Neodiprion lecontei: one gene and its partners. The protein of the gene in region 1 interacts with the protein of each later gene in a pairwise test. Links are inferred from orthologs where the notes say so. Each region holds a gene or a part of one and is shown in the gene's direction. Other genes may lie near its edges. The genes, in order: transcription initiation factor TFIID subunit 11, transcription initiation factor TFIID subunit 13 and protein Dr1.

The links.
Region 2: the proteins of transcription initiation factor TFIID subunit 11 (region 1) and transcription initiation factor TFIID subunit 13 interact in a two-hybrid assay, tested with the Drosophila melanogaster proteins (2 studies listed by BioGRID). The link is inferred for Neodiprion lecontei from reciprocal best matches to the Drosophila melanogaster genes Taf11 and Taf13.
Region 3: the proteins of transcription initiation factor TFIID subunit 11 (region 1) and protein Dr1 interact in binary tests that used the Drosophila melanogaster proteins (3 or more experiments, as listed by UniProt). The link is inferred for Neodiprion lecontei from reciprocal best matches to the Drosophila melanogaster genes Taf11 and NC2beta.

The regions. Positions count from the first base shown.
Region 1 is NC_060261.1:39,665,288-39,672,895, reverse strand, and holds transcription initiation factor TFIID subunit 11, read left to right. Parts: upstream 1-2,599; 5' UTR 2,600-2,994; intron 2,995-3,177; exon of another isoform or gene 3,178-3,179; 5' UTR 3,180-3,180; coding exon 3,181-3,324; intron 3,325-3,561; coding exon 3,562-3,815; intron 3,816-3,905; coding exon 3,906-3,993; intron 3,994-4,278; coding exon 4,279-4,375; intron 4,376-4,570; coding exon 4,571-4,704; 3' UTR 4,705-6,785; downstream 6,786-7,608. Other genes in the region: ER degradation-enhancing alpha-mannosidase-like protein 3, read right to left, coding at 7,124-7,608. UniProt on the Drosophila melanogaster protein: The TFIID basal transcription factor complex plays a major role in the initiation of RNA polymerase II (Pol II)-dependent transcription.
Region 2 is NC_060263.1:20,309,639-20,315,353, forward strand, and holds transcription initiation factor TFIID subunit 13, read left to right. Parts: upstream 1-2,571; 5' UTR 2,572-2,714; coding exon 2,715-2,741; intron 2,742-2,876; coding exon 2,877-3,114; intron 3,115-3,181; coding exon 3,182-3,300; 3' UTR 3,301-4,154; coding exon of another isoform or gene 4,155-4,159; 3' UTR 4,160-4,538; downstream 4,539-5,715. Other genes in the region: uncharacterized protein LOC107221582, read left to right, coding at 5,424-5,539.
Region 3 is NC_060261.1:17,283,498-17,289,376, reverse strand, and holds protein Dr1, read left to right. Parts: upstream 1-2,444; 5' UTR 2,445-2,759; coding exon 2,760-2,761; intron 2,762-3,810; exon of another isoform or gene 3,811-3,950; coding exon 3,951-4,461; 3' UTR 4,462-4,748; downstream 4,749-5,879. Other genes in the region: N(4)-(Beta-N-acetylglucosaminyl)-L-asparaginase, read left to right, coding at 425-656; protein SMG9, read right to left, coding at 4,896-4,974, 5,067-5,178, 5,306-5,426, 5,589-5,733, 5,821-5,879. UniProt on the Drosophila melanogaster protein: Bifunctional basic transcription factor. Activates transcription of DPE (Downstream Promoter Element) containing promoters while repressing transcription of promoters which contain TATA elements.

The DNA.
Region 1 (7,608 bases):
GCAACAACGATTCTATAATCACGTCACGAGGCGCGTAAAATACAATCACGTGATTTACCAGCAGCAGCAGCAGCAAACAATTTTGACAATACGTTTGATAAACGGCAAATTTTACTTACGAGAGCTTGAAGTTTACGCTACGAATTCTGGATAATACCGGCCGACGATGAACCAGAATTACGAGTATCCGGCACTTTGTGTTTATATACGCCGGTACAGAAGCAGCCGCAAAATAAGCTGAACGAGCTGCTCCTCTGAGAGTCAGAAGATTCCGATGGATACTTTTTTTTACCTTCTGCGAGATCGATCATTTTTTATTAAGAAATATTGAAATTAATGTTGCTGCAAATGTTGATATTACGGGACTGCAATTACTACGCGAAATAAATGTTATTTGATCGTTTAATTAGAAAATCATTTTCAATTTGAGAACTAGAAAAAAAAAAAAAACAACTAGACGATAAATACACCATGCTTTGCTTCGTATCTTCGCAAATAATGTTTTACAGGAAAAATATCCCACAAGTTCTGTCCGTCGGACAATGCGAGGAGTGCAGGGACGAGTTTTTGCACGAGCTTCAAGGGCATTGACCCGTATACATATATACTGCGGCGCCTACGACTCTAATGCACTGGTCTAAACGCACGTACACAACTAAAATTACCTTAAATGGAAGAGGAGTCGAAGAGTTTTTGGTCGTAAATTATATGAACCGTATTGTAGCAGTAACGACACACCGATGATGATAGTAATGATGATGACTATGATGACGATGCGTGGAGTTGTTATGAAACTGATAAACCGAGGTTTCGTTTGTAATTTCGATGCAGCTAGCTTTTTATTATCGGCGCTGAAACGCGTCGCTGAAAATCGAAATTTTTTTTCAATTGGGAATTTCGGTACATCGACTGTGTGATGATTAGATTAACAAAACGAATTAGTGTAAACCGAGCGTATATTTTCTCCGAGCGGGAAGATTCTTCAATCGGAAAATTTAACAAACTTGAGTCTCTATTCACTCTCGGAAAGTTGGAGAAGCTTTGAAACGGGAGGCATCGATATTCGTTTAGCAGATGTTAGGGAAAGAATTAAGGAAAGTGTATCGGATGTGGTAAGATAAAACTTACGTGTCTGATATTTCGACCGCATAGGCGGAAAGGAAAAAGGTCGAAAACTCGATCTCGTATACAATAATAACTTCACCTTCTCTCTTTTATTTCCAAGATATCAAAAACAGGGATATTGTATACTGAAAATTGACAGGCCAAGACAGAATTTTCGACGTCGTTTGAAAAAATTGTGAATGTAATTACATACACAGGATACAGACTTATGTACGTATCTACGTACGTACGTCAAACCCGCATTTACATTCGACTCCTCATTCGTGCAGGCGTCTAGTTTGACTTACCTACGTATGCATAGGTACTTTAAATTCTAGTCTTCGTGTACCTGAGCGTCTACGATCAGAATAAAGACCCGAGTTTCGAAAATGGTATAGGTGGGTATTACATGTGTGCATTGTATACAGTAACAGGCGAAAAATGACAGTGTGCATACGTGTTTACCTAAAAACACGCCTATAAATTGCCTCATTATTTTTTGCGACAATGGTATCTATCTGGCCATGTGCGAAAAAACGACAATCAAGTTTTGTACGCGCGTCTGTCTGTATAAAAAATGACGTATACGTAACGCTATTATTGCAGAGATTGCGGAGTCGCGATTGAGAATAACGAGATGAATCGCAACGCGGTAAATGGCAAACAATTAACCGTGCTGAGTAATAAAACGCGAAACAACCAAGCTGCTGCTAATCAAAATGCGTTGTCGAACTCTCGGTACGCGATCTGTTACATTTTCGATAGCAGAAAAGGAATGAGAATAAGAATAAAAAGAAAAGATTGGTAAACCGGTTTTTTACGCACAAACATCAAAGAACAAAACCCGCTGCAGGCTCTCTCCGACTTTTCAGCAATATAACATGACCAGTTTGACGGTTCCAATATGGAACTGTGCCATTTTTAAAGCGCGTTGGTTATTATACAGAAGATGTTTTTTTTTCCAACTAGTGTAAACGTGAGTCCATAAATATTATATTACGTATCGATGAGGAGGAAAGAGATACTCACATTTTAACACATCAACACGAAGAGTTGGCCGACATTAACGAGGGTTGAATGCTTGGTTGGCGAAGAACGAAGATTTCCGTTCGATTCCCTCGTTAATACGAAATCCAAATAAATATGCAAGAGGGAGAGGTAACTGAGACACTGTACTGTGTTTGTATTGTGTATATCCACCTGCACCTTTTCCTCCTCCTTCCTCCTCCTTCTCAAAGCCGCAACACTTGGCAAATGTCCGAGAGCCGTCTAAAATTCAACTTTGCCGATGTGTGCACAAGCGGTAGGTGGGTATATTTACCCCGTTTACACGGCGATGTACTCGACCCCTTTCGCCGTTAAATCACTCGGCTGTTAATAACCCTGATTGGGTAACCACGGCGTAGAAATTTTTACGCGAAACGCGACCGAAAGTACGAGAAAATTGTTAAAACAATCGAGTATTGACAAATGCGGCGTCGCGACACCGCCGCAACATTTCTCTCGCGATTGTTTCGATGGTTTGTGCTGCTGCCGCGCGGGCAACTTCGGAACTAACGAGGCGAACCTTACCCAGCGTATTTACGTTTCATCATTGTCGCCAATTTACGGTCCCAACGATTACGATCGTGACGACGATTTATTGATGGGGATTCTCCGTCGTCGGTTGTCGATATTTGCCGCTACTTTTGATAACCTCGGTGTAGTAATTTTGAAAAAGATAAATCGTCGCAAAGGCAGGTCACGCAGGTCGTGACGTCATTCGTGCAGTAAACACTCTCCTTCTGTCAAATCAGTCAATATCGCGCTACAAAAGCGGTTCAAATCAAATTATCTTCAGGGTTTAGGACGCGTCAGCTGACCGGACTGTTGCTGTTAAAAACATCGTGAGTTTCGTTACTTCTTCAGCCCTCCTTTGGACAGATTTTATTTCATAATTACACCGATTATGGTGTTCGGCTGTTTCTAACCTATATGCATGTGTACAAAATTTCACCGATTTTTAAAATTTATGCAATTTTGTATTTGATAGAACATTTTGGCCTTTTATTTTTATGAACTTTATTGCTTCAGAGAATGGATAATATTTTTGGTAAAGATGATTCTGGGAACGAAAGCGAGCTTGTCGATATTGAAGATAAGGACAGTCCGTCTAGACCCTCCGGAACCAGAGACAGCGATGGCATGGATATTGACGACGTTCCTTTGAAGGTGAAAGGAGTAAATATATTGAAATTTTCAGCTTCGTACTTTTGCAGTCGATATCGCTAATACGGAGGAGAATTTAGAACATTTTTATACTTATATTGCAATTATGAAAATCGAGAACTCGAATTTGCACAAAAATATAAGCAAAACTGATGATCTCCAATCTTTTTGTCATACTTAAATTGAGACTGATTTCTCATGCGGTTCTCGTCAAATTGTTTTGAATAATTTGGTGTTTTAATTTTAAAGAATGAACCTGACACTTCAAGTCAGAATTCTCAATCAGACACAGAAGAGTCAAGTCCCCAACAAACTAGTAGCGGAATGCTATCAAGTGACCATATGGACTTGAAGAATGATCCAGAGAGTCAAGATGAGCATGAAGACATTTTTGGAAATGATATAATGCTCCCACATTCGGTACCGACAAAAATAGATGGAAGAAGAGAAAGTAGAGAAAAGAGTAAAAAGGAACTGGAGGAAGAAGAGCGGGAGAAAATGCAGTATGTTAAATATTCACCTTTTTGGCTTCTATTTGTGAAGCGACGCATTTGACAATACGTACAAAATTACTTTCACCATTTTTATTCTAGAGTTTTGGTATCAAATTTCACGGAAGATCAATTGGACAGATACGAGATGTACAGAAGAGCTGCATTTCCCAAAGCAGCAATCAAAAGAGTAATCAGATTTTATCAAAGCTTTTAGTTAGTTCTGCATTCTCAAAATTATTCGAAGTGTAAATTCCTTGAAGAAACTCCTTGTTAAATAAAAATGCATGTAAGCTTCTTGAAAGATAACCTTCACGAACTAATATTTTACTCGCGTTTTTTTTTCAAATATCTACTCAATATTGATTGCATAAATTTACTCCGACCAACAATCACAAGGTCAATACCTAATATCTTATTGCCAAAGAAAATGAACAGACGGCTCTTCCATTTTGTTGTTTTCGATTCTTTTCAGATTATGCAGACAATTACGGGCTGCTCGGTATCTCAAAATGTCGTGATAGCCATGTCAGGTATAGCCAAGGTGTTTGTCGGCGAAATTGTTGAGGAAGGTACGATATGAAAAACTATATCTCTTGCACAAGATAATTACAAACTCCGATGTATGCAAATTTCGATGGCTCAAAAAATTGACGAATATTTTTATTGGAGAAAAAGATATTGTAAAATCCATAGTAACTCTTTCACTGTAAAGAATATAGAGAGCAGAAGCTGAAATAATGTAACAAATATGCAACTGTTTAAAGCTTTGGATGTCATGGAAACTCACGAAGAAACGGGCCCATTGCAACCAAAACATTTGAGGGAAGCGGTACGCAGATTACGACTTCAGGGACAAATACCAAACGGTAGAGCACAAAAGGCATTTTTCAGACTTTGAGGAAAGCATGAGCTTTTTTGCAAATGGTCAAGAAAAATGTTATTAAAGTGCAGCACGTAGTACAAACGCTTTTGTTATAACAAAAAAGGCTAATAGCTGGAAAAACGTCCAGAAGACTTCCAAAAGCTACAGCCAATGTTAGAAAATGCGAAATGCCAATCAATATCTATTGTAATAATATTATGTTTATGCATTAGCGTCTAATTTTAAACCTGTAAAAGGTCATTAGAGTTAATTTATTAAATCATAACAGAGGCAATAAATGAAATTCTGTTATGATTTTAGATCTAGCTATACAATATAATTTTAACGTTACTTGTAAAATACATTTGAAATCTCTTCTCTTCTCTGGCAGTATAAATTTTTTCATCCGAGAGTTATAGTCTAATCTGAAAGCTTTCAATGTATGTTTCCCAAAGAGAATTCTATTCTTGTAACATTGTTCTCTTGACCCACAAATGTAGAAAGAATTATATTTTCTCTTATTGTTACATATAATGAATAAAAAGATATATCACTAAAATCCTGATACCTGTTGTATTTCAACTATGAGAAATACCAAAAAACCATGACTAAATGAATTCGTACTAGGGTATTTTTCGAAAGATGAAATTTTTTCAAAAGTATATCTCGACACGTGCACAAAAAAGCATGATTTATAACGATTTTATTTCCAATTATCAATAATAGTCATGCGTCACCCCCGTTACCAAAAACCTCATTCCGTAAATATCTTTACTGAAATTGATTTATAGTATACTATGATACAATCTTCTGTATTTTGTTATTCTAATATGTACAAAGAGTTAATCATACTATAAAAATTTGTAGTAACTTTACTTCTCTTAAAATCTTAAATATCCTTATGTTATTTTTGGCAGATAATTACTAGTTATATGGTATTATAATTATCTTATTTTCATTTAACAGTATTTAAGAAAGAGTCATTCAGAATTACAATATATTTATAAGTAAAAAGCTGATATTCATATTAGGATCTTATTTACACTTATAAGTTATATGCATTCTCTGACAGCAGTAAGCACGTAAGTATATAACAACTAAAAATTACAACTTAATATTCTTAACTGTTCATCGTACGCTTGCAGATGTTCACTACATTTCAAAAACCATTGCTCATTGAAATGATGGAATATATTTTTATACCACGATATAATATTAAAGAGTAGTTGATAGATCTACTCGCTCGATTACAAATATTATACATTATCATTGTAAAATAGCTAACATAAAGCATTATGTTAGTATTCCTCCGGTAATTAGAAAATTTACTTTACAAATACATACAACAGATATTATACATCTTGCATCGTCTATATCACGAATTAAGAAATATTTTACACAGTTCTATTATTATACTTCATTTCTTTACAACTGGTTAACACACATATTTCAATATCTGTACACTAATCCGCCATATATTATCTATTTAAATTATATCTCAGTTTTCTGTACACGAAATCTGATTAGTTTGTTAAAATTGAAATAAAAAAAATCAAACATTCAAGTAGAAATTATAGTTCTCCGATAATTGGTATCATTAAAGTTGCATTACAGATATGTGATTTTTGCAAATAAAAAATGAAATTTCAAGTTTCTTTCTCATCTTTTACCTTTAATGGTTCGTTTTTTTCCGGTTTTTCTTAAGCTAAATAATTATACGATACAAAGCGTAATTATAAAATACTATCCAAATTGTGAATAATAAACACCTTCCAATGCAATAGGAAACTTAGGATAAAATTAAAAGCTTCAAATTATGGATAGTAATAAGTGAATGATATTCACCAGATTTTTTTTCGCTGCCGAAAGTTTCATATTTTCATCAACTGTTGAACTTAGTAAAGCAAAGTATGCATATCTTTAGGTTAAATTCACTGTTTCCTGCAGTTTTATACCTTTGACAGTCTACGTACGTTATATTCACAACCACATCAATGTGTATTGAACTATCGAAAATATATATACATTATGTAGTTAACAAAACCTCATGCATTGTCTCCAAATTATACACGGCATTATTCGTGATTTCATTATTATTGCAAGTTTTTAACATAGAGTCCATTTTCGAAAAAAGCACCATTAGTTGATGATTTAAAAAAAAGATATAGTTTCGCGCTACGCTTCATGAGTGATTTCAAGTAATAAGTAATCATTGTCATATTTCCCATCTCATGACATACATTGTTAGATTAACTTAATTCTTATTTCTATATGCATAGAAATTTTAGGTATAAAAATGTTAAAGCTCGCATCACTTGAGTCTTGAGCTAATCTTAATTTGTCAATTATTTTTTTTTTCACGGTTTATATTTTACTACCAAGTATCAACTAGTGTAATTGGACTTTTCTTTATTTCAATACATTTATTATCAAACCTATAATCAAAATACCATCATTATAATTCGTCGTCGATATGTTTTTTACCTTCTCTGGTATCGGCATTAATTTTTATTTGCGAGCCAGCATGTTCTTCACTTACGACTTTCCCGTTTTTCCGTTCTTGATTTCTTCCTTTCTCTTCTTCTTGTTCTTCTTCTTCTTTGCCTCGATACTCATAATTACTCTTTTCTGGGTTAGCATATCCCGTCGATCGTATTTCTTTTTTTTGTTGAAATTCAGAAAATCCTTTCAATATTTTACCTTCATCAGATGCCCACAAAGGTTTTTTGAAATCCTCCAAAGGGTCATTCGAGCGAAGTTGCTCATCGGGTATGTGCTGGGTTTCTAAATTTATTTTTGTATTCAATTTAATTTCATTATTATTAAGGCTACGCATATTACTGTTATCTTTATTATTATTATTTTGAGAATCACTAATCTCTCTTCGGATGTCTTGTAAAAGCCTCTTTCTCTCGTCATATCTTGCTTCCGTTTTATCGA
Region 2 (5,715 bases), on another chromosome or scaffold:
ACCACAGCGATTAAGATTTCGCGATCTATGTACCGAAGAAGCATACATACATGTATATGTATAGTTAACGTATGTTTGGTTATGTGTGTGTGTGAATTGGGACGTGCTAATTGAAATGCGTGACTATACCTCCAACAATTATTGATATAAGTACCTGTGATCGACGGTCCTCGGCCATATTATTACACATGTAACCAACGATAAGGATTAATATACGCTCATTCTGATATTGTCACGTATACCCGTTTGGAATCAGATAAATCCGATCGGGCTGAACGATGCGGATTATATTATAGATACATCAGTTACGTACACACTGTAAATTGATGACCGTCTCTGCGCAGGTGATATATTCGAATCATCGTGACATATTAAGTGATATCACATAGTTGCAATGTATCGCATAAAAACAAGGCAAATACACGCGAAGTGAAATTTTTGTTCCGCACGTTACCATGCAGCCCTTAAAACAATTTAAGTTTTTCGCCGTATCCAAAAAGTCTAGTTATTGGTGCAAAATGATATTTAGTTGTGTTCCTGTGATCGCGAAATCCAGTACGTGTTACTCTTCTTTGTAACTATTATTCTAGATGTAATTCTATTACGGCAATGACCTAAGCGCAGATATCACCACGAATGCCTTCTTTCTCTGCCGATTGATAAACATTATTTATATTCGCTATCGAGGAGGGCTCAATTACATACGAACACATACGAACACATAGTTCGTTCGATCGCTGTTATGAGTACAGTGTCTTCGATTCGTGGAATTGGTTGAGTTGACGATTCTTTTTCGCAGACAAGATAATACTGGATAGCATTTATGCACATCGATTCGTTATAGATTTGCGTATCCAACGTATTCGCGAAATTAGTTTTACCACTATGCAAGCAAGACTAAGCATACACCTTATAAAAAAAAGACCCGAACCAAGGTTGGTGGGTCTTACAACTTGTTTACGTGTTGATTAAAATATCACGATTTATTTTTAACCGAATTACCGACTAATTCGGTAATGTTACAATTAACGACGTTGGTCAAATCGAATAAACATAAACACACGCTACAACCGCAATCATATTATTAAACAAAAAAGATTTTCCCAAGCTGATCGAATTCGATTACAGATTCTAGAAATGCTACTGTACGGAAACAAGGAGGGAATCTTAGAATTTCATGTATATTACGTAATAAGTAAAGGGTGTATGAAGAATATTTAAAATACATGGAATAACATCGTATTAAAAAAATCAACGAACGCTCTTTTAACTGAAGTGCTGTCAATTTTCTCCAGTGATTGCCTGTATCACGTATTATTATTATTGTTGTTGTTGTTGTTGTTGTTGTTGTTGTTATTATTATTATTCATAGAAACAGAACGTTTCCTCTATTTCATTCATACATACAGCTCTTTCATTAGACAGATAACATTTTGCCTTATCGACGCATCCCTTACCGTCAGCAGAAAGGGATCCGCTTTTGTATTTTTCGTATCCTCGATTTAGTAGCGCCTTCTGACACGGAACAGATTTTGTAAAGAATTTTTGAGGTACCTGAACGGTAAATGCATGTCGTATTTGCTGTGTACTATTTAGCAACTCGAAAGCAGTGAGTAATGCACAGCGCATTTGTCATAGTCGTAGAATAACACAATTTCGGATTAGATTTATACAAAATTTTGCAACATATTTAAGATTATTTGACAGATCAATCGGCCGCGCTTTTGCGCGCCGATTTCGCAAACGGTACATGACAAAGTAAAGCACTGTCGATGTGCTCAGCCTTCGGCTCTTAAGTCGAATATCTTACAAGTAATCAAGTTTTCAAATTTGACAGCGCCTTTTGCGCGTCACCCTGATAATTTTCGGGTTCTAAGTGAAGGCATGGCATTTGTATAGTGATAGCGAAGAATCTTGGCGTAAGTATTCCCGAAATTGGGTGGGTGCAGACCTAGGTCCACCTTTTATCTTGATTGATGTGAATGATACATGTAAGGTGATTAAATTTGCCCTTTTTCGATCTTACAAAGCCATCAATTACCTTAGGGACATAGCGTTGATGCAAGTTGTTCTCGATAACATTTTTAAGTGGTTTGAGTTGAACGAAACGACATGCAACATTGTTAAATGTGATTCTATAACATTTGGTAAAAAAAAAAATCATTCAAAGGATTTCACTTATTATAAATTGGGAAACTGTTACTTCATACAGATCACTGAAGTTAAGGAATTCTAGGTATTTATTTTAATAACAAATTAACTTTTGTAAGACACAAAAAAAACGGCAATAAATTTCAAAGTAATTAAGATAATATTAACCATTGTTTGCCGTTAATTTAAAGCATATGAAGTTTTTTAAATATTTAGTATTACTGCAATAACATTTGTTAATGTTTATGATGCGTTTATTTTCGACCACTGCAGTGGCATTTTGTTATGGTAAATATGCTCTGTATTATCCACTGAGTTCAACCCTCAGCAACGAATCCTGCTATGCCGTCGGCGTTTTTTCGTCTCACTATTAGGAATGTTTCGTTTTCGACATTTGGCATCACTGACTAACGTAAGCTTCGTGAGATGGGTTTTGACACAGAAACTAGTAGATCTCTGTTTGACAAGTGTTGGAGTTTTCAACGAGAGTTTTCTGTCAATTAATCTTGTTCAAAAGTCGTTATTTAATTGCCAGATTCTTGTGAGTCAAACGAAATACGTCAATGGCTGCGGAGGAAAATTACGAGCAGGTAAATTGGTCATAATGAAATGGTTTGTTCATAATTGAGGGTTGAGTACGAGCTAAGCAAAATAATCTAGCCTAACGTAAAGTAACCTAACTCCTGGAGACCTTAAGCCTTGATTGGCATTCTTTATTTGATCAGTTCGAAGATGAGGAGACGGAGATTCCGATCGGAGGAACGCTTCCGGGTGGAAGAAAACGGTTATTTTCAAAGGAGCTCCGTTGCATGATGTACGGATTTGGCGATGACCAAAATCCATACACCGAAAGCGTTGACTTTCTGGAAGATTTGGTGATCGAATTCATCACCGAAATGACCCACAGGGCAATGGAAATTGGACGCACAGGCAGAGTGCAAGTCGAAGACATTGTCTTCCTTGGTGAGTGAGCGGGAATTTTAATTTGTTGTGCAATATTATCTTAAACTTGTTTCACATTGTTTTCCAGTAAGGAAAGATTCTAGAAAATACGCCAGAGTTAAGGATCTGCTGACAATGAATGAGGAGCTTAAAAAAGCAAGGAAAGCCTTTGACGAAGTGAAATACGCAGGTACTGTCAATCAGTAGGAAACCGGTTGATTGATATTATCAAGTAAAAACAAAAATATCATTGGTAGAGGTGTGTGAATTCATGATTTTTTGGTTTTTGTTATTGCAGAGTCTAATCCAAGTCTTGTTGCAATATATGAATAATTGGCCATCCAAACACATTCTGAAGTATTTTCTGAAACAAGTTTTCATCATAGCATAATATCCAATCAGGCTTGAATCAGACTCGTTAGTTTTAGTTTATTGCGTATAAAATAGAGCTATGATTTGTTGTTTATGAACTGATCGAGCGATGGTTTCTAACAGGAATGGGTGGCGTTACTGTAAATATTGCATCCTCACCATTGTTACTATTTTTTGTTTGGTTTGTTTTATTACTATGCAATTGGGTGGACTTTGTCATGTTTAAGTGGTTGCGCTATTGAATCTAAATATGGAGGTCACTGAGTTTCAATAATTGATCAAATTGGTCTGTTTTATTAAATTTAATACCAGGTAGCATGTAATTAGTGTTTTGCATCTCATTTTTATTTTGAATAGTCGGTTGTCAAATATATTGTAAATAAGTGTTGCATCATAATTGATTAATTATTGAGTTGCGTTTTAGAATGTTAAACCAAAACAAACAAGGTTGCCTGTTGAATTTATTCGAATGAATATCTTTTGTACATTTATAATTGAATACCATGGTACTTTAATGAATACATTTAACAATCGTTTTGGGTGAAGATTAGAAATGTGTACTGATGTTGCATAATTACTACGTCATCTAACTAAGTGATAATGAATCAACATAGTATCATATTTGAATAAATATTTTAAACGGAATTAGAAACGCTTGGTCTTAGTAACAACCTATATTTTACTGGCAGAATAACATCGTGCGGTGAAAAGAAATACCTTGGTTAAAGAAGGAGAAGGAAATGTGTAAAAATACTTGTATGGGCCCAAATCAACTATGCGAATGGTCTGCCAATTGCAATTTGCTGCAATTTTCAATTGGGCTTTGACACAGCCTATTTAATATCACTGCGACATGATCATCGAATTCCAGACTGCAACCAGATTCTCGATTTTAACGGAGTGATATGTTTGATGCAGTACAGAGTGAGTTTCTTGACTTGTTGAAGAATAATTCATCTCCGTATGTATGTACATATATTTATGTGTCTATTTGTGATACCTGGATTGAATTTATTTGTACATTCATGTAACTTGCTCAGGATTTTACCAATAATCAATGTATGGGCGTTGTACCAATGCTTGTTATATATTATACAGTACACGACTTTTCCCATATCATACATCCATTTATTTTTTTTGCCACATTTCTCCCGCATTTTCCGTGCAAAATTCCGGGAAAATTGGAATTTAGAACGTCATGCTGACATGCATCAACGTAGGAAGAGTTCGAAAAAAGGCGCGTTTTTTCGTGGGTCTAAAATGATTGGTTGATGCTAATTGATTACTTGAGAGCAAGACATCTGGTTAGTAAGTAGTGTCTTGGCGGAGTATTAGCACGGAACGATTGGTTCAGAGAAGCAAACGGTGAAGCATTAATTGATTACATCGTCATTAAAACAAAGGTGCTATCCTTAGTTCTGAGAATAAGGGCTTCTCTGATTGTGAACTGTACATGATTTTCGGAAGATATAACGGTGACGTGTGAAAATTGTATATACGCTGCTTAATACTTTATAGATGTGAGCTTGGTTGATAAAATAACAGGCAATGTGGCGTGTAAGAACTAATAATATGAGAATCTTGCACGTATGATCGTAACTGTATACGTCTGTATTGGTCTAAGAACTATGGTAAGGGTGCATAGGACTCTCTTGCGGTCACTACAATTTTGCTACAAGAACTTGCCTTGAACTTTTCCAAAATCAACTGCAAATTGTCGTTTTCGAGCTGATTAATACCGCACGTCGTTACTGTAATTTTTCGAACGGCTGCACTGAGAGCGGGTTCTTTAGAATTCATTCGCCATTGGACGAAAACCACGTGATTCGCACTGATTGCAACCACTGAAAAGATTATTCGGAAAATCAGTGCGGAAAATGCTGTAAGTCAGCAGACGACGCGAAGATTCACGTGTAGATACCGGCGTCCGCAGCAGCGGGTCGTAATTTCCCCGAATTATGGCTTTGGTAAAACAAACAGGTCCGTTGCCTACAGACGCCGTGCCTTTGGACAAAAACGAAGCTTTGCGATATCAAGTCGATATGCTGCGGCACTGGCCGAACCAATTAGAGGTGTAAGTCTCAACCCAACGTAACATAACCTAAAAATAGGTTAGAAAACAGTTTTTCACTAAGTTGAAGTTTTTAACGTCAATGAAAATATGAATTATTACGAAATCCCATTTCTTTGCACTTTTAGAATTTTCTAAAATTCACTAAATTATAATCCAGCAAAAATACTTGGGATTCC
Region 3 (5,879 bases), about 22 Mb from region 1:
TTCGTTTTCTATGAAATCGCATGATTGTTAAATACTCCCAAGACATTTCAGAAGTTGTTGATGCATGGATGCAGTGGGTATGCTATAACAACCACTTTTTTTCCTTTTGGTCTTAATGAATGTTACTGTAAAGTATCAGTAATCTGTTATAATAAAGGTGGGTGTGAATTGATCAAATCAAAACATTTTATTTTGACACAATAGCTCTTTTCTATATTACTTTTTCAGAGGTGTATATGTCCCTTTGAGAAACGTAGACATGTGTTCTGCAGATGATTCGTGTAATATTATTGTTATTGATCAGACGAGAATTCAATACAAGCATTGCTTGTCTTGATGCAATTCATTATATTGATTGATTACTTTATTTAATCATGATAGTTTTAATCTGCGCCTTGGTTTATGAATAACTTCCGTTTTTCAGCTTCCTAGCAGTGGAAGAAATGCGCCGCGGAGCGGCTCCAAGCCATGCTGCTGAGACAGCAGTTCGTCGCATAGCTCAGCATTATCCAAAATTCGTTGGTGGAGTTATTGCTCTTAATAAGGATGGCGCGTACGGAGCCGCCTGCAATGGGATGGAAAAATTTCCATTTTACGCGAGTAATCCTCTTCTCGGTGAACCCACTTTGAATCACGTTCGATGTATTGAGATCTGATTCACTCATGCTCCATGCCTATATTAGCCTTGCAATACTGCTTTTTCTACGGACAAAAAGAAAAATATTGCGATGCATGCAAATAATAGAATGTCACTGAATTCGAATCTTTTGCGATAAATTACTGATTTTCTAATATTCAAAGTGTTTCTATGCAAAGGTTTTTAATATAATTTTCCTAATAACAAGTACTGTAAGAATTTGATAATAATAAAGTTGGTGAACAAATGGCAACTTTTTGTTTCTTGATAAGTATAATGAAATGAGCGAAGGTAGAACAACCGGATTTTACTTGTGAGACGGAAACTAAGGCTCAATCGGAGCTAATTTATCAGCACAATTACCAGAAAGTTGTCATGAACTAAAAAATGCAAAAAAAAGGTAACTGTTTTGATTTTTGCAAAAATTGTGACTGATTCTAGTCAATACTAGACCTACTTATTGTATGTATACGTGTATGTATCTCAATTCTCAGGACATCAGATGCTGTAGTTGCAGGCAAAAAATGTAGTCGTATTTATTTTTATCTTTTAACGATCGGGCTAACGATTTCTCGACCACCCCATGCCTGAATTTTATATTTTTTGCGCACCTTAATTGTATCACCATCACTGATCTCTATGTAGACTGGATAGTGGACTCTTTCTCGTGCTTTCTACGTGCTACAGAGTGGAACCATCAGAAGGCATGTAAGCTGCGGGGGGAGGGGGGGGGGGGGGGGGTCAGAGGAAAGGGCAAGCTTGGGGTTTTTGATTAACCAATAAACGCGATTTTTTTTAAAAAGGCCTGTATTTCGGGTTAAAAAATGCCGATAAATAGAATTCCAATAAGAAAAAGGATATTGGCTACGGACGATGGAAATATAATTTCTGACTTTTGAGCTTTATTTATGTATCTCTTTAGCATTAATAGAATTCATTTATTTTAGTAATATATAGGTAGTAAATTTATTAGTATCAGTGATCAAACACATTATAAAACCTTGGAAAGTAAAAAATAAATCGGCACAATAAAATTCGTTACTTACAAATAGGCGACTTGAAACATTAGTAACAATTTGAAGCAAGCGCAAAAGTGAACCTGTGATTAGTTCGCTTGTGACTTGAACTTTTCCCACCGTACAAGTACTTCACCATTTTTATTAATTCACTAACTTTTTTCTTAGTATTAGGCACTAGGCTTTACCGTTTACCGCACTTTTGTTTTATTTTACCGTCGCCATCGAACAATATTCGCGTGAAGCTGGTTAGTTTTAGGTTTGAATTACCCGCTTCGAAACGGACCCGTCAAAATTGCAAATGGCGCTGATCAATTGGGTCCACTGAGGGCACCCAAGCCCCATATAACGCAGCGTGACTGTCTTGAAGCCTGTGTTTCTCAATTTGTGCACCAAAGATCGGAGCGCTGCAATCTCCGAGGCCGGTGTATGCGTACTAAGTAGGCCTCTCCCTCACTAGCGCTAGCGGCGAAAATTCACAACATCGGCTTCATTTTCGAGCACGGTTTTACAACCGGAGTGCCCAGACCTGTTATAAGGCCGTGATATGGTATAAAGACTTATAACCCTGGGTTTTTTTTCGTAACAGTTTGCAGGGTCTGGCCGGGTTTGGGGGTATTAGCAGTTTCGCGTATTACGAACCAAGTAGCTGACCACGTCGGCAAAAGGTGTTCTTCATAACCAATAACTATCGCGGGCAAAACGTTAGAAACGTGCCGTTGTCATCGTGAAACTGAAAATAGTTCTAATCTACCTCAGAATCTTTTAACAGTTTTGAATTAACCTCTTGTGTGATGCCAACTAGCGGAACGTTTCCATTGGTTTGTCCGAAAAGCTGCGCTGTAGCATGCGCTGTAGGACACCTGACTCCTTACACAAACTGTGGTTGTTTGGCGTTTAAAAATCCGAATTGCTTAATTGGTTTCATTTACAATCTCAGAACATAATCCGAATCCAATTGATATAAACTTTACACCGTACTTAATAACTTGCGAAAACTAATGATGGCGCTGTATTTTTATTTATGATGTCCCAGGATGTATTATCGGTGAATTTGTGTTGAGCAACCGTGGTATGATAACCTCCAGATCTACGTAACTAGTCATATGTGCGTGTTTCATAAATAAAGTATCCCATGCTAAATCATCAATAACGTTCCACATTCACTTAATTAGTGGTTTTTTTTTTTCACCAAACAAGAAAATATATTCGCTTAACTACTGACATATTATTACATCGGAATGTTATTTTTTTCATCGTGATATGAAGGGAATTCATTTGAACAGATTAAATAAGCTTTCGATTTTTATAATGACCACCTCTCGAAATTCGTTGATTACTTTTTGCGTTTTATTCGAGCAGTTACGTTTCATTTCATTTTTAACATTCAAGCACTTACATTTGATGTGTTTTTTTTCTACTTTCTCCTTCACTACCAGCAATGACTGTAATCGTTGAAACGTTGTAACAGCTTGCAGATGATATTTTGGGTAAAAATTTATTGAAGGTTAAATGCTGGTCATTCATTTATTGGTTCAATTTATTGTAAAACAAATTTGTTGCTTTTGTTATTTATTCGCCTGGTATGCTTAAACAACAAAGATTAGAGAGAAATAATTACAACAAAAGTGAGAGGCAACTTGATTTGTTAGCAATATATTTAGACATTTCTTACATTTCTTTTCCTGTTCATAGTTCTACAAACCATAGAGTTCCTTTAACTGACGAGCTGCAAATCTAATTTCATTTGCAATAGTTCAATCGATCATTTACTTGTTACTTCCGCATTCATTTTACTCAGAAACTACAAATTAAAAAAAGTGTACAAGTTTGATTTTTATTGATTCTTGATTGTTCGATTAATTCAGTCGACTGTCCGCATCTGATGTATTGTTTCATTGTGTCGAAATGATGTGAACTCTACTCCTGTTCAGTGAAGAAGAATATTTATCACCACTATCCTGTAGCATCATAACAATTCTTGTAATCTAGTTGACAAAGTAATGTGGCCAAAAGATTTTAATCCCACTTGTTACCTAAAGGTTTAGCTGTTATCGACTTTGTATATTTGCAATGTAAGCAGTGCCGTCAAATGAATACATATTATTTACATCTAAAATGACTCTTATTTTAGATTACAAGACGAGAAACGATACATTTCTGAAAACATTTCTTTATTGTCGGTGTTCATCTCACTTGTCGAATAAAGGTATATTGTTTCTTGGCACACACTTTCAAAGCATTTCTTTAATAGGTTTGCTAAAGTTATTGAACGTTGTTTGATCCTCGATTTTCAGGGTTCCAATGGCCTCGGCAACAGTGACTCCAGCTGAAGACGATGAGCTAACTTTACCTCGAGCGTCGATAAATAAAATGATAAAAGAAATCCTACCCCATATACGAGTAGCAAACGAGTCGAGGGAGTTAATATTGAACTGCTGTACTGAGTTCATACATTTATTATCCTCTGAAGCGAACGATATCTGCAATCAACAGCAGAAGAAAACAATTAATGCTGAGCATATATTACAAGCATTGGAAAAGTTGGGGTTTGGAGATTATAGCGCCGAAGCTGAAGCTGTATTGCGAGATTGTAAGGCTGTGGCAGCGAAGCGAAGACGCCAAAGTACAAGGCTCGAAAATCTTGGAATTCCAGAAGAGGAACTTCTTCGACAACAACAGGAGCTCTTCGCAAAAGCACGCGAGGAACAAGCCGTTGCTGAACAACAGCAGTGGCAACAGTTGCAAGCCGTTGCCCAAATGGCTTCTATGCAACAGCCGGATAGTGAGCAGGAAGATTACTCCTAAATTATTACCATTAAAATAGACAATGCAAGTCTAATGAGTAAATTGATTGGTTCCTCTACTTATGAATCGATTTTTCCAATAAAAGTGAACAGCGTAAATGAGAAATTCACTTCTTATTGTCTTAACGGTTTATCTTTGATGATTTATCTATGTAAATTGCATAAAAAAAAAAAGAGAAGAAATGAAGAAGAAAATAATTTCGAGTATCCTAGAATACGTTACCACCATTATTTATGAATAAATGTGAATGATGTGATAGAATAAAGAAGTGAACCTAATTATACCTATTTTCTTTGGATAATTTAATCGAACCACACCTTTGAAGTGTTTTTTTTTTTTGTAAACGTTTCTATTGAATATTTATGAAATTTAAAATTTTTTGTTCCTACCTTTGTGAAAGATTACATTCATTCCACTTTGCCAAATTGTTGTTTTCACGGCATTAATCTCCCATATTCAGAAAACAAATGACTTTTCTTTATCGTATCCATAATTTTGGAAGCATAATGGTACCTGTAATTAGTAAATAAAGATATGAGATCAATGTCTATTCTTCACCTTCAGTGTCTGCTATATAACTCGGAGTATCTCAAATTAGTACTAACCAATTTTTTTCAGTCAATACAGTTGAAGTCATGTTGTTACGTGATATACCATGTATTCTCATACGCAATTTTTCTGATATTTTTTCTGCACTATCATGAACGATTGTCTCATCTGAAACAATTCATTAAGTAAAATCACTTCGCCGATTCAAAGTTATTGAAGTCAGGAAACTGTGTACAACACTCATACAAAATGTAGATACGAGTCGTTTCTGCTTTCATCTGAATTGGATTTTTACCTTCGTTTGTAATTTCTGGTATAACGAATAAATTTAGTTGTCCATCAACGACGGATGAAGCCATATTTAATCCACTGTGTGTCAGCAGTCTAGAGTTTATAAATACTTTGTTATAAAAGTCCTGGAAATTGAGAACTAAGGTTTATTATGTGTGAGAAATGTTTTTGGAAATGATATTTTTCTGATAAGATATAATCCTCTAGTTCCTGGAAATACAAGCTCTAATTTGAGAGGTTTTATCTAAAAAAAAATCCGTTACTACTTGTTACTAAATCTATCTTACTTTCATCATGTTCATAGAATCAGGCATGAAATCCTGTAACTCAGCTTTATTGTGCAGAAAGAGGATGTGTGGATAATATTCGACAAAGTCTTGATCCATAGCAGACGCCGAAGAAGGTTTCAGCATTTCGGCAGTTTGAATGAATCTGAAGTATAGCGAACAAAGCAAACCAGTAAAATAAAGTACTTAATTAATTTGGATCAGATAAATTCAGCTGTTAGAAAGTAGATACCTGATTAAATTGGGATCTACAAACCAGTCCTGAATGAATATTACAACGTGACAAACAGA